Struthio camelus: one gene and its partner. The protein of the gene in region 1 interacts with the protein of each later gene in a biochemical or structural test. Links are inferred from orthologs where the notes say so. Each region holds a gene or a part of one and is shown on either strand. Other genes may lie near its edges. The genes, in order: MAPK8IP3 and MAPK10.

What was found.
Region 2: the proteins of MAPK8IP3 (region 1) and MAPK10 form a complex in vitro, tested with the Homo sapiens proteins (3 studies listed by BioGRID, with this or other methods). The link is inferred for Struthio camelus from reciprocal best matches to the Homo sapiens genes MAPK8IP3 and MAPK10.

Annotation. Positions count from the first base shown.
Region 1 is NC_090956.1:19,855,020-19,863,063, reverse strand, and holds the start of MAPK8IP3 (C-Jun-amino-terminal kinase-interacting protein 3), read left to right. Parts: upstream 1-4,963; 5' UTR 4,964-5,041; coding exon 5,042-5,359; intron 5,360-8,044.
Region 2 is NC_090945.1:10,742,175-10,749,668, forward strand, and holds the start of MAPK10 (mitogen-activated protein kinase 10), read left to right. Parts: upstream 1-4,435; 5' UTR 4,436-4,793; intron 4,794-7,494. UniProt on the Homo sapiens protein: Serine/threonine-protein kinase involved in various processes such as neuronal proliferation, differentiation, migration and programmed cell death.

The DNA of each region.
Region 1 (8,044 bases):
TACATTGACAGCTCTATTATATTCAGGAAGGGCCAGTGCACTGAAGGCAGACTGTCTGGCACACAGGTGCTTCACATTGCTGTAAAAAGATGAAAAGACTGAGATCAAATGCAGACTCTGGATCTGCATTTAGCCCTCGAGCTCCTTTGTTCTAATCGGAGCTCCAGCACTCCTCCCCTATGTGGTCTTTGTGGTCCACTTAGTACTTCTGCCTTGGTTTCTTGGATCTATAAAACAGAGATAATATTCACAAGAATTTCTAAGAGCAGATTAGCATCTCTAAAATGGGAGTTAACTGAGTATCTTGCTGTTAATCTTTGGTTTTATACACATTGGAAATAGATATTTCTTAAAAAATCATTAATATGCATGTATCTATAATCCCACACAGTTCTTTACTACTTCTGTTTGCAGAGTATGTTATTATGTACAACTCGCTATATTTGGTATTTAGTAGTTAATTTTCATTTTGTTGTGTGGAAAAATTCCCAGTTGCCTGTGTTTTTGCGAGACTTTTTTTTCCTTTTTTCCCCCCCCCTAGATCACAAGATTTTTCTGGATAGGACCACTTTTGATCTTACTGCCTTTGTGCAGTGTTTAGTATGCTGCTGTTGTGGTTCATACTTGGAGTTTTAGATGCTACTGCAGTACAAATACACATGGTAGAAAACGACCCTGTTTAGACTATGAGAATTTCCTCTACCTTAAACGCTGTTTAATTTGCATGGACTACAGAAAGGTTTTCCGGTGGGTATTGTATGCAATTCTTTGATTATATATAACCAGGATGATATTGGTCCTCCTCTGTGAAAATAAACTATTCAGTTTCATCTTCTGTTTCACATTTTCTCCCAAATGCTAGCTTAAGAGATTGATCTATAAATTCTGATGAAAGGAACATTTAAATCCAAGTAAAACACTATTTATCTTGGATTGTTTACAAAAACCATGAGGATACTGTTATTCCTTTAAATTTTTATAAATCTTTCAAAAAAAAGAGTTTGAGGCCTGAATTACCCTATTATATCTTTTATAGAGCTGATATTATATCTTTTCAATTGAGGACATGCTTGAAAGTAGTACATATCCTGTTTCTTCCCTACATGTGGGGTATTCTAGACACAGTGTCTGAAAAAAACAGTTGGATTTATCTGTTTGAGTGCTTTTTTCATGTATGCAGGGAAAATAGCTATATGTAAGTAGTAGTTTAGTAAAAGCTTACTAATAATTACAAAATAGTTTACTAGTACTAGTTTAGTGGATATTTCTTTTCTGGATATTTGATAAGTTGGACATTCAGATTAAACATTTATCATTTTCCCATTTCTGAGGACAATATAAGGGTCACTAGGATCAGAAGGTTACATTAGGTATGCTTATTTGCTATAGTGGGATAGTAAGACTTGTATTATAATAGATCCATAGAAATGTAAGTGGGCATCTCAGTTCTTCTGGGAATAAAATGTTTCAAGTTTTCTTCTATCACGCAAAATCTATTTCCATGTCTACTAAATAACCTGTAATGTTAGGGGTTATTTTCTAGGTGAACGGGCCATTGAGTTTTGCTATGAACAATACACTCATGTATAACTTTGTGGGATATCCCTCTTTTTTGTTGTAGTGTTTGCACCATATGTAGCATTGCCCAGTTGAACTTCAGAAAGACTGTATACTTTGGCTTGTTCAGTTTGCCTAATAAAATCCAGTATTTGGGATTCCAGTGACATAAACTATCGAAAGGGCTAACTAAAGGAAAGGCAGTTAGCAAGATACAGATAACGATTATTAATAACTTTTAAGGGAGAGGTACTGTGAAGTATTGTTTGCCTGTAAAAACGGACCTGTTGAATTACTATGTTTTAGACTAAACCAGCTGTACCACAAAATGCAGATTTAAATAGTGTTGTAAAATACAAATGTCTTGTCTATCCAAGTTTTTCAACATTTAAGCCTTTAACAACAATGCCACGTTTGAAAACCTATCCTTGATTTTAAGCTGTTAATTTAAGCAGTTGTTTGTCTAGTCTCCCTCTTTTACCACCCAGACTGAAAGTGTTTGTTTATAGCGAATGGGCTGTACAGTTCTCTTGGCTCTCTCTTTGCCTGGTTTTTTTGTAAGGTTTTTTTTTTTTTTAATCTTTGCCTGAAATGCTAATTCATTTCTCAGGAAAAGCTCTTTTATCTATAAAGCAACAGTAAAAGGTATCCGTTTCAAGAATCCAGACACCTCAGTTGTCCATTCATTGTGGTTTTAGCTGTCTATTCTTGACATGTAGAAATCTAAGGAAGAAAAAGTAAGAAGACTGGACTTGGATGAACGGCACCTGGAATATAGCCACACCGTAGCTTCCTGAGTGTTAATATTTATGCAGCTAACAGAAATGAGCACAATTAGCATGAAGTCCTGTGTCAGCTCATTAGTCGCAGGCTGAAGTGTTGCCACAGTAATGAAAAAAGGCATCCCTAATAGCTGCCATTTTACTGAAATAAAGCCTGAGATACCAGTTTGGCCATTCTTCCTGTGTGATGGGGTGTACGGGTCTGTTTTGCGCGCTCAGAAGAGACAATATCACCAAGTAAGCACTACTGAAAGGCGATTAACTACCAGAGTAGCGGCAGAGAATATGACTCTATTTTCACAAACATAAATCAAATCTCCTACTGAGGATAGTCAGGTTGCAGTAATGTGATAGTGGATGCTCCAGCAGTGAAAACTATGAAACCTGTGGTGTTTTTGTGAATTAATAGCACTGGAAACTCCATTGTCAAGCAGATCTAGGTTTTGGACAAATTTGGGGTGCTGCAAAGGCAAAGTTTAACTTTTGTTTATATTTTTTTGCACAGAACTTTGCTCCATAATCTTGAAGTATTTTATGTTGTTTAAAAATTAGAAAAGGCAACTATAACTGTAAACCTACATCAGTTTTTAGACTTAAATCTCAGTTAGTTGGCAAACCCTTGCAACTAGAGAGAATCCTTCAAGGAATGTTAGAGATACTTAATTTGAATATTTCTGGTCATCAGGTGATTGAACAGTGACTTCTGCATATAATAAAATCTGGTTAAGGCATTGAGTTATGAAGACAGTAGTAGCTGGGCTGATTAAGAAATACCCCTCCGTCAGCTACTATGTTCATTTCTTCCAATGATGGAAATCACTTACCTAGCTTGTAAACCATTTCTCTTCCTACTGACCAATTCAGATTTGCCTCTTATGAGAGAACACCTAAATGAAAAATGTCTGAATTTCAGATGTATGTAAAGAATTTAACTCACTTATTTGCCTTTTCTTTGTCAGGAATTGTAAAGTATGTCCTTGATATTTCAGAATCCTTCCGCTCCCTCAGCTAAGAATATGAAAAGCGGTGTCCTTCACAGGAAGGTTGTTCACAAGGATATTTCACAAAAGGGCATCAAGAGGAATAATCACGTAATGAAATTTTCTAGGCACGACAGCGAGACCTGGAGAATGCCAATAACATATGCATTTTGGAGCATTGCTTCCCATGTCAACCCCCTCGTTAGAATCTCTACGAAGGTATTGCATGAAATGAATGAGTATCGTATGAATCTCAATTTGCCTCTTATAGTATTTGCTGTGAATGCTGGAGGCTGCCTCCAATTTCTGGCAGCGTGTTGCTTTTCAGAGCGCGCTGCTGCTTAGAGTGATCTATTGATTAATCTCTCTGATTGTGCTGCTGCTCTCAAAAGCTCAGGCGCTGGATTCTTTTTTAGGACTTAAAATGGCGACTTTTGACCTCTGTTTTTGTCTGTTCACTTGTTCCTGTCTGAATAGGTCTTTCTCTTCTTTCCCTGTAGCTACCTTGATCTTGGAAATATAATTACATATCTAACTTGAAACAACTATTGTATGGACGCAAAGGAGTGCCCTGATTTTCGTAGATCCTAAGAAGAAACTTGCAGGTCTGCAGGTGTTTGGAGGTTTTACATTCATAATTGGGTGGCAAAATTAGATTCTAACACTTCTGGCTGGAAGTTGACCCCCTCTGCCAAAAAAAAGTTCTTTCCAGATCAGGCCTCTGAGTGAACAACATCCAATTTAGGTAATGCTTCTTTGGTTTTGGTCAGATGATGGAGAACTTAAAAGTTTAAACGGGTGAGAGCTGAGTAATGGTGACCTTTGCGCTATTTACACTGAAGGCCTCTCTAGTTTGTAGCTTAACATATCCAGCCCTGGGACAACTATTTGCCCTGAAGCAGTTTGCTTTTTTGGCCAGATCGCGATGCGCATGAGTTCGGGTTTCAGTCAGGAAGAACTAAATGAGCCAAGATGTGGGAATCAGCTAGATTTGCTGATTCTTAACCCCGAGGTACAGGTCTGAGGGAAAAGTTGGCTTTGCAGCATGCAGTATGACTTTGCAGCTTCCGTGAAGATGCTGTATTTTGTCCGTGGCTCTGCTGTACAGCGGTCGCTCCGCAGCGCTGAGCGGTCGGACGCGACTCTGGCGCGTAGTTTGCACGCTGTCCTTAGGTGCAGCCGACCCTTCGGGGCGGTCCTTTGTTCGGCCGTAGGCCTTGAGGCAAGAAACTAGTTGCGGATGGGCTTGATCTTAAAATTCCCCCCGCCCTTTCCCCCACCCCAGGTGTCCGTGCAGACGCGCGGGGGACGGCGCGGCCGTGCGGATACGGTTTGCGGATGGATGGGCGACCCGGCCCCGCGCTGGGAGGCGAGCGGGCCCCCCGGCCCCCGCGGCGGTGCTGCCCGAGCTGGCAGGGACCGCGCGGCCCCCCCGCGCCGGAGCCTTCGCGGGCCGCGGCCGGGGGCGCAGCCGGGGCGCCGCTGCGGGCGGCGGCGGCGACGGCGGCGGCGGCGGCGGCGGGGGGGAGGGGGGGGGCGGGGCCGCTCCGCCGCGGGCCGGTCCCCGCGCCGCGTGACACGGCGGGCGGGGGCGGCGCCGCGGCGCCCATTGGCGCGCGGCGGCGGCGGCGGCGGAGGGGCGGGGCCCGGCGGCAGGCTGCGAGGCGGCGGCGGCGGCGGCGCGGGTGGTGCGGCGGAGCTGTCCCCTGGCAGGCCGGCACGATGCTGGAGATCCAGCTGGACGATGGCGGCGTGGGGGGGTACCCGGGCGACGATTACTGCTCGGGCTCCGTCATGTCGGAGCGGGTGTCGGGCCTGGCCAACAGCATCTACCGCGAGTTCGAGCGGCTCATCCACTGCTACGACGAGGAGGTGGTGAAGGAGCTGATGCCGCTGGTGGTGACGGTGCTGGAGAACCTGGACTCGGTGCTCACCGACAACCAGGAGCACGAGGTGGAGCTGGAGCTGCTGCGGGAGGACAACGAGCAGCTGCTCACGCAGTACGAGCGGGAGAAGGCGCTGCGCAAGCAGGCCGAGGAGGTGAGCCGGGGCCGGGCCCCGCCGCCCGGGGCCATCGCGCCGTTATGCCTCCCTGCCCCGTGCCCCGGCGCGGCGCCTCGCCGCCGGCGACCATCTTGTGCGCCCGCCCGGCGGGCACCGGCGCCTCGCGGGGGCACCGGCGCCTGCGCCACGGCCCGCGCTGCCGGGCCCGGCCAAGCGGGCAGGGCCTGCGGCTCCGGCCTGGCGCGGGGCGCCGGCCCCGCTGCCGCCCGGGCATCTCCCGTCCGTGCTGGCGCAGCGGACGAGGAAGCGCTGCCCGGGCGGGCCGGCGCGGGGCCGCCTGCCTGCCGGCTCGGGCTTTCCTGCGCTCGGTCAGGTGTTACCGACCGCGTCTCTCCGCTCCGGTCCCTGGCGGTGCCTCTTCTCCTCCGCAGCAGCAGCAGGCAGCGGGAGCAGGCCTGGGGCTGCCCGCAGGCCTGGCGTTTGCCCGGGCGGCGTGCAGGGAGCCCGGGGGAGAAGCGGACCCCACATATCCTTCGGGAAGAGCACCTGGCCGCCCTGCGGCGGGCGCGCTGCCCGCCCTCGCCGCCTGCTGCGCGGCGCAGCGCAGGCCTGGCCTCTCGGATGGGGCACGCTGCGCTCCCCGTGGCCTTTTTCCACACAGCTAGCAACATATCCTCTTTATGTTTTGGTAGCTGTGATGTTACCGGTTCTTCCCTGCAAACGTATCCTGGTGACGTTCCCTTTTTCTCGCTGGGTGAAGATCCATGAGAAAATGGCTATCTCGCTTGCTCCCCGGGCTTGTACTTTCTCACATGTACACGCAGGATCTGTTTCTCCCGCATCATCGTATGCGTAAAGCCAAGTAGGCAGATACCGCTGCCACTGTTTTTGCCCATTTGAAAGGAGGAAAGAGAAAAATGAACAAAAATAGCTGTGATTCTGTGAATGTGTAGAATTTAGCTTAGAATACCAACCAGAAACACAGATGACTTGAAATTTGTGCTAATTTGTGGTTAAAAAACATGCTTTAAAATTTTTATTTACTTTCTGCCGTGCACTTATCCTGGCTTGGTGGTGGTGGCGGTGGCCACTTTCATTGTAGCGATGTAGTGCAGCAGGAGAGTTTTTAAAATCTCAACAGTAAGCTGTTCATTTGAGGCAAAAAATGCTCTTTGTAGAGTTGGACATCTGATTTTTGAAACTTACTTTTACCAAGCCTGCAACTTGAATCTTAATAACGTAATTTCTCAAGTTAGAGCCTGCAGTTTCTACTGCACTGGGTGTACAAATCTGCATTCATGGAAGCCGTGCCGGAGAGCACTGCTGCTCAGGTGAAGGGGGGAATTTGAAAGTGGATCATAAGACAAAACAGTTCCTTCTGATGGAAGGAAAGCAAAATACTTGGGTTACCAAGACATGGCAATAGCCAAAAGAGAGAGGGGAGGTAACTTCCTGTCTCTCTTCTTGGTACATTTGCTTCTGTCCCTGCTGAAATCAAGAGCGTTCTTTCAGCTATAAATGAGGTCTGTGAAGCACAAGGTTTGCTCTGCAGCCTTCTGAAGTAATAGTCTGTGAACTGGGATTAAGGACTGGTAGTGGAAAAAGTTTGTTACCCAACACATCATTCTCTTTTCTTTACACAATTGCTTTAAAATTGTCTACTTCCAGACTTACGTAGTCTTTCTGAGGTTCAGATTCTGATGTGATGAGCAGTAATTAATAAAATAGCTTTTGAATTCAAGAAGAAGGTAGAGCACTGTAAAATATTTTACCAGTGTTCTTGTTTCTTAATAGTCATATACAGTAGTCATATTCTTAACTTAATGATGAGGAGGATACTCATGGTCTATTACTAATACTGAAAGCTAGAGCCAGTCAATTAAATTTTTAATCCTAAGTTTTAATTATTTATTAATGGACTAATAACTAGTTGTTTAAAATTCTTATGAATGCATATGATGATCCTGAGTACATGAGACGTTATTTATTAAACCTTGCGTAGAGCTGATATTTTGCAGTTAAAAAAAATTTTTTTTACAAGTGCAGTATTTGCAGAGATAGAAACATGCTTTTTTTGGGAGTGAATGAATATTCTTCTTCCACACAGCCCCTATTGAAAGGTCATATGTGGAATACGTGGCTGTTATTTTCCTGTACCTGTAACAAAAAATACATCATTTCTCTGCACCTGTTTGCCATAAGCTGCTTACTGTGTGGTAAACTACATTATGGGTTATGGAGGTGAAAATCTGCATCTCTTACAGAGAAGTCTGTTTTCCATGAATTAATTGTAAACCAATCAAAAATAAAAGAAACAGTTTTCACACCAGACTGTGCATTGCTGTTATGTAGCAGTGCCCATAGTAACCAGGGAAAATCCGTCCCGCTTTCTCATGCAGTGTTCAGCTTTGTGTGCTGTGCCTTCGCCCAGGTCTCTGCCCTGTCCCTTTAAATGGGAGGATCCTCTTCTGGGAACTGGATTTAATCCTAGTCATGATTTCTCTGTGTATATTACTCCTAATTATGAGAATCGCAGTGACACAGAGATGTTGGGAGTTGAAGATGAAAAATTGGTCTTTTCTGTATAATATCATCAAAAGACCCCAAGTCCTAATTACTTTATATTAGTTTATTAATTTGAAATTAAGTAAAACCACAAGTGAGCATTGTTCTGTGGCATTAAAAGGTGCATTGTATTCTCTTGTTAATCACTACTGCAGA
Region 2 (7,494 bases), on another chromosome or scaffold:
AACATTACATTAGCCTGGAACCATAGGAAATGAGGACTGAACGTGATCTTGAGGGATCACTTAGTTCTAGTTTCTGTACTGACTTGGATGAAAGAATTTGTTCCAGTGATTGCTTTGTCATTTTATCCCTTAAAACAATGAGACTCTTGCTCATTCGGATTTTAACTGCCTTAATTGAGTGTGATCTGTTTGGCCGGTGAAAAGAGTATGAACTATATGAGGCAGAGCTGAATGGGGTATGTAGAAGCTCCTGAATCACCACGGTTTGCAGCCCAGTGCATTAAGCCATTGCCAATTTCAGATTACTTCAATATGCCAGACTGCAGTCTTTGGCAATTTAAGAGCTGCAGCATTCAGCCATCTATGCAGCAGAGACAGCAGGCTTTAGTGGGAATGGCATAAACTGCTTGAGCAATTCTAGTTTAGTCCCGAATTTCATGTGGGTTAATGCCGTGGGTCACTGAGTGCTTCCGCTTCTGGCGGAGCTGGTGGTAATGTAGCTACTGGATCCCTGGTAGCACCGTTTCAGAAGATTCGTACGGTATCTGTTAATGGTGAGCGCAAAGCCACAGCTGCTTTTCTCTGTCTGTTAAAAGCAGTGCTTAATTCGTTTAAAGAGACTTACCTACACTACCTACATCACTTACCTACATATATTTTTCATAATTTTATTACTATTTTTAAATAAATAGCATCAGCAAACAAGGAGTTGGCAATGCAGGTGGATCAGAATCTCAATTTAACATTGTTATTTCATGTTTGATGGGTGCTCTCTTTTTGTTTGCTTGAATACAGAACTGAATGTGAGCAAACCCTGACATAATTGTTCTCCGAACCTCAGTGCTCCCAGTCTGTCTGATCAAAATAGGTCACAGAGATACAGCCTACTGCTCATCTCTTGGACTAAAATTGTATGTGCTTATTTGGGAATTTGTTTAAATAGGACGAGAGAAAGCTGTGTATGAAGAAAGACTGATGCTTGTGAGTGCTGTAGAAGCACAAAGGAAGTATAAGAGCTTAACTGAAATGAACTTAATTGGCTTATGGTGACCTCTGTAGCTATCCTCATGTTGTAAACATCTACTTCAGTGCAGTTTATGTTATATTGAGCCCATGTCCTCTTCTGCTCTTGCCTGTCGTGGAGGGCTGTTAAGGTCAGGGCAGCTCTTCTGGGAAACGGGTGCCAATGGAATCTAGCCTAAAAACATCTTTAAATTATTTCGCTGAAGTTTTCTGCACTGTGTCAGGCCATTGCAGTTTTAATCTGAGGCTTAATTCCAGGCCAGGCGGCATTTTATTGCATCTTTGTGCATCTTGGCCCAGCCAGTGAGCCATCTCAACAAGACACCACAAAAAGTGAGCTGTGATGGCTACAGACAAGGGTGAAGTGAAATGCTGGTATTGCTCTAGGCAGCTGCATCCCTTTATCAGTAAAAGCAGCCCCTGAAAAGATGCTCTTTTCCATTAGATCTGTTGTTCAAAAGACAGATACTCTAATTACATTCTGAAGCCTCTGTCACCTCTGTTAGAACTTAAGCTTTTTGTTGTTTTTTTAACCCTTTCCTCCTCCCCTCCCAGGCTCATAATCGTGTCAGAAACATCGTTTCCCCTTCCTCCTTTTTTCTGCACCAAGGAGTAGGCAGTTAATGCCACTTACAAAGGTCGTCTTCTGTCTACTGACACATTCAGTGGTTTTTCCTCCAGGAAAGCTCTCCCTGTAAATGTATCCTGAACATTTTAGGTAATACAGTTACAATATGTGGGTGGACCACAGTAGAAATTGTTGCCCCCAATTAGTAATAAACTTGTATGTACATATATATGTATTTATGTATATGGATATTTTGTGGTTGCTGAAGTGTGGCATTTCTCCAAATGGGCAGCAGTCTTGTGTTTTCACAGTAAACAGCCCCCCCCCCCAAAAAAAAAAAAAAAAGAAAGAAAGAAAGAGTACTACATAGGCTTTGTTCACAGAGGTAGCTTCGTTCTGGAATTTTGCGTAACTTTAAGTGTTTTCCTAGAATATTGTTGAAGAAGACTGAAAGTATGAAAGAAGCCTGAAAGTACGAAAGAAGTTACTTTTCAGGGTATTCTCTTGTCATTCTACAGAGTCTGGAATGGATGAAACTCTTCTCAGAGTGTTGTACCCATCATCTGTACTGGAAGGGGAAGTAGTTCTTCAGTGCAAACGTGACATATGGTAGCAGAAAATACTGTCTAAGAGGCCTATAGAGGAAAGACATGTTATGATATGGGAGAAAGAAAAACTTAGTTATGGGGACAAAAAAAACTCCAAAAACCTACACACAGGATTTGGTGAATTTTAATACTGTCAAAAGAGGAAGTTCTTAATGACAGCAGGAAACTTGCTTTTTTGTTTTGGTTTTTTTTTTTTTTTTAGTTTTCCCAATCCTGTGATGGGTGTGTGTTTGTTTTTTTTTTTCCCCCCCACCCCCCATAACTTGTATTTTCTGCTAATGGTAGCTGCTGCTACTCTTCTAGCTGTCAGTTAAAAATTGCCCTTTACTCCCTGCCCCTCCTACCCTGAAAAATACAGGTTGAGTTAACTGCCGATTGCTGAAGCCTATGTGTTCAGATATGCCATGATTACTGAGACCAATTATTCCACTCCCTAAAACTGTCTGGACTGCTTGACTATGTCTGCTGTGTAGGTCTTGCAGGCTGCTGTGGAGATTTTAACACTGCTGCCCTCTGTACCTCTTTCAGGGCCTTGGTGGCATTGCTAAGGCGTTCTCTGGGCACATAATGTACCTTTGCATGCTTCTTTGCTGTGCCATCTTCTCCTTGAGTGTAAGGTGAAACCTGGAGGAAATTTCCGCAGTGGTTGTTAGTCTGCAGTATAGAGCTGTAAAGTGAAAAACAGGAACATCAGCGGAGCAGTAGTGTGTTGTGTGTGTTGTGTTTTGTTTGAAATTAATAGGTTCATGTGCATGTGGAAAAGATGCATGATGAAGATCAAAAGAAAGACTGATAGAACACGCAGGTGAAACAGGCTGGTGAAGAAAGGAGTGGAGGGATGTAATAGGATTAAAGGAAAAAGGGATAGCTCGGGCCCAGATGCAGCCAGTGACTTGCTACACCCGTGGTCCCACTGTTCGTTTTTGTTGTTGGTCAGTTATATCTGTGTCAGTGTATGGCCTGCTAAAGGCACTTGGATTAACCTCAGAAAGGCAACAGATACCCAGCCTGGTGCAGATGAAATCTGTGGCATCGGTTCTGGGTCATACGGACTGTGTTTGGCTGTGGCCATAGAAAAGCCTGTGGAATATTCAGAACAGTAGCGGGAAAGCTGCTTTGGGTTCCCTGGAGCTTCATTTGACAGATATATTCCGAGTGAAATATTTTTGTGCTTCAACAGAGATGTATTCCAGCAAGGTGGAATTTCAGTGTAATATTTCTGACCAGGTCTTATTTGGATGTAAATGCCTGGAAGTCTAGTCTAGTGTAATAGTCTTATGGGCATACTTTATTTGCCGGTAAATATCAGAAGAGGAGAGACATCCTGTGACTTGTAATAAACAGAAGGAAAGGTTGCTGGACGAGGAGAACAGTTCGTAAGCCTGGAATGGTAGGTGGTTAATGCTAGTATTCTGTGACTACTCTGCTTTTGCAGGGTGTGGTGGTGAATACTGATTGCTGCTTAAAAAATAAGAGAGGAGGAAAGGGACAAGGAGGCAGATTAATGAAGTAAGTAAACTGCTAACCAAAGCAAGGTAGCTGCATAACTCTTCTTGATGCTAGAAGGCATGAAGAGTGACCACCAGCTCTGATTCTGTCAGTTCAAAATGCAATAGTACCCCGGTGCTGTGGGACCCTCTGCAAGTGCCAGGTTGTTAATCCTGGGATTTTGGACGTTTTAGTAATGGGCACAATGTACTGGTAATGGGGAGATCTATAGTCATCTCTTGGTCTTCTAAGGGACTCCCTCCTCAGAGGGATATTGCTTGCCCATGTATGCTTTGAATAGCTGCGAAGGAAAGGAAATGCCTTCTGCGCTTTTCCTGCTTGAGAACAAAATGTAAATTTAATTTCAAATAGTTGTGTTTTTTGGGGGGGGTGGGTATTTATGCATGTGCATATAGCAGTTAATGCAAACAAAAGGGCAGATCTGCACTGAATGAATTCTTCCTGTTATTACCTCCTCTCTGCACTGACTAGCTCCCTGATGTTGCAGATGCCTGAGCTGCTACTGCTGATAAGTGCTACAGAAGGCTATTCAGCTTCCCTTTGCTGTGCTTTGTCCCCTGATTCACTAGGAGATACTGTAGCTGTGGCTGCAGATTAGGCTTTTCTCTTCTCTCCCTCCCCTTGCCCCCCCCCCCCCGAGATTTCTATGTGCTTTGACGTCATGTGTGCTCCTTTCAGTTGCCATAGCAGCCCCATTCCCCAAGCTCTCTGCCTGTCTCCTCTGGTAGGTTCCACAATGGTACAGCCAGCATCACGCTGCACAATGGTTTCCAGGCAGTGAAAGAGCGTGATTCAGCAAGCCACTCTCTTTTTTTTTTCCTTTTATTTCGTTATTATCAGACGTTTTGGCTCCCCTTTTTCCATTCTGCTTTACCTGTTCCCCCAGGCTTTTATTTAGTTCTTGAAAGAAAAAATTAATTTTCCTTGAATGCAGCTGCCTCTCTTTTTATTTTTATTATCATCATTAATAATAACCCATCTTTTCCTCGGCCCTGTTTGGAATGTGGTTTAAAAATACCACCTAAAATCACAGTTTGGGGAAAAGGTTGCTGGACGAGAAGAATATAGTTCGCAAGCACGGAATGGTAGGTTGATGATGCTAATATTCTATGACTAACCTGCTTTTGCAGGGTGGGGTGATGAATATTGATTGCTGCTTGAAAAAATGAGAGGGGGGAGAGAGACGGAGCGGCAGGTTAATGAAGTAAACCGCTAACTGAAGCAGGAAGGCTGCAGCAGTACATATTTTGTGGCCAGAGGACCATCGTCGTCTTGTGTTCGGGTGTGTATGAGCTTTTCTGTTTGGGCACTTCAGGTGACTGGTGGTGGTGAGAGCGATGCAGAGGCACAGCACGGACAGGAGTGATAGTGCTTTAACAGCTGGCTCATGTAAACAGTAGTGTTTTACCTAGCCTCATCGCTGCTAATACTGCTTGGGGGTTTGGGGAGGAAGGAGGAATCTTGGCTTGCAATTTAGTAGAAATGAATAAGTTATGTGGGTTATATAGTTTGTGTAGAGCCATATAAAAATTGAGTTTGTAAGAATGACAAGAGAGGGTAACGATCAGCAGCTTTAAGATCTAGAGGACAGAAATCTCGGCCTTTTGCAGAGGGGCTGAATTCGAACAAGAAAAGGAAGTGTGGTGGGGGGGGAAGAGATTGTTTGAAAAACTATGTTGATGGGCTGAATGTGGGGGCTGTGAGGGGCCGTTATAAGAAAGTGGTCTCTTAAGGTAGGCATCCCTCTACTGCATAATTCCCAGGTGCAAGCGAACAAACAAGCACTGTGTTTTATGGAACAACCAAGAGCTTATAGGAAAAGTGTTTACAGCACGCTACAGGGCAGTTATTTTGCGAAGGAGAATTCAACACTTGGTAGACGCTGCAGTGAAATCAATGTTGCTTTGCAGGGAAATCATCTGGCAGCTATTGCTGTAGGAAGAAATGTTTTGTTCTTTTCTGCAGAAAGGCTTTATTAGCAATAATACAAATTTTACTTGGATGATGAAGTGTGACAGCGTTGCTTAATAAGCATACTGTGCTTCCAGTGAACTACAGTGGGCATGTTCCATGGCTTCACGCCTTGAGTGATTGTAAGCTTGTTTACATGGATTCTTTTTGCTGCATAGCTTTACGATATCCTCAATGCAGGCTTCTCCTTCTCTGATGCATTCACTCCGAGTTTTGCAAGAGACCTTTTTAAAGGCAGACCAACGTTATGTGAAAATACAAAGTTTGAAAAGGGAAGGGAAGGCACGGAGTGGGTGGCAGTTTTTAAGAGGAAAATGTAAACTGATATATTGTTTGTGTGTGTTCGGGTTTTTTTTTTTCTTGTTCACTTTGTTTTGTTTTTTTTCTTCTTTCCTTCCTTCCTGAAATAAGCTTCCTGGAGGGCTCAGAGCTTATCATGCAAGTCAGCTTTGGAAAAAGGGAAAGGTTAAGATACAGCAGAGCGGTCTTGTGTTTCGCACCTCTTGTGTATTGCACCGGGCTGTTTGTCTTTGCTCGCATGTAAATTACATTTGGTTACCTTACCTTGAGGACTGTCAAGTGTGCCAAACCTCTTACCTTTTAACCCTGTGTTGGAACATTACTCCGTAGCCCCTGACCGGGGCTACCAAGGAGCGAAGTGTTTTAATCTCTGGGGTTCCTGCTCTGTGCTCACTCTTCGTACTAGAAAACGTGCCATAAAATATCTTTTTCAGTTGACTTGACAAAATTCCTTTCTCTTCTGGGGGCACAGCTGTGAATGACAAAGGTGATACAATCTGAACCATTAAACAGTGTTTTCACTCCCTGACTCTCAGTAACCTGCGTTCTCACACGCTGCTCTGTCCTGCTGTTACAGAGCATGCGTAAATTGCCAGGATCCTGTGGTTATTATGGTTTTGTTGAGCTTTAGGCTTGCAGAGATGCTTCTAAAAGGGGTAAGGGCAAAAATCACTTGATGTGGAAAAATTAGTTGCCCTCAGCTGCCTGTTTTCCTGCTCAGTAATAGAAAATGCACCTCTCATTGTTAGTAATACACATGTATGCTAGAAGGGGCTTTTTATGAGCAGACCTTGGGGATTTTTTTTTCTCCTGTAAATGGTTGACACGTCTCTAGCCATTATTTAAAGACTTAATAATACTGGATCAATAACTGTAAGGCCAAGTATCTTCCGGAGGTGTTCAAATGGGAGATCTGACTTTTAAAAAACAATGGAAGAGCTACCAGAATTTCCCTGCTGTGGTATTTGGCGTGTTGTAAGGCCCGCTCCTAGTGTGTGGTCTGTTGTAAAGCTCATGCAATTTAAAGGAGAGCTAAGGCAGGCCCAAAGGAGTGGGATGTTGGCGTTGTTCTTGCACGCAAAGTTATATTTTTATTAAGATTTGGCAGGCAGAAAAAACTGAATTCAGAGAAAGATTTTCAGCTTTGAAATTTTCAGTCTCTGAAACTGTAGTTCAGTGCAGACTACGCCATTACTTGCATAACTCCTGAACAGCAGAAAATATCACCTTGTTGATAAGCCTTCAAAACAAAGCAAGTCTTTAATGTGTTTATTATGGCAAGCACTCAGTAGCCATAGAGCCTTTCATTCCTCTGGTTTCATTTTGCGCTCATAATAGCCCTGTTAAAATTACGCCTCACAAGTGTAGTGATTGCAGTGTTGAGCATTGTTGTGGCTCTGTTATGTTATCGGGAGAAAAGGAGAGACTTCATTGGACTGCTATACTAAATGAAAATACAAACTGGCTTCCTGCATTCATGCGCTGCTACCCTTTTCTGTGGTTCTTGCAAGCTCC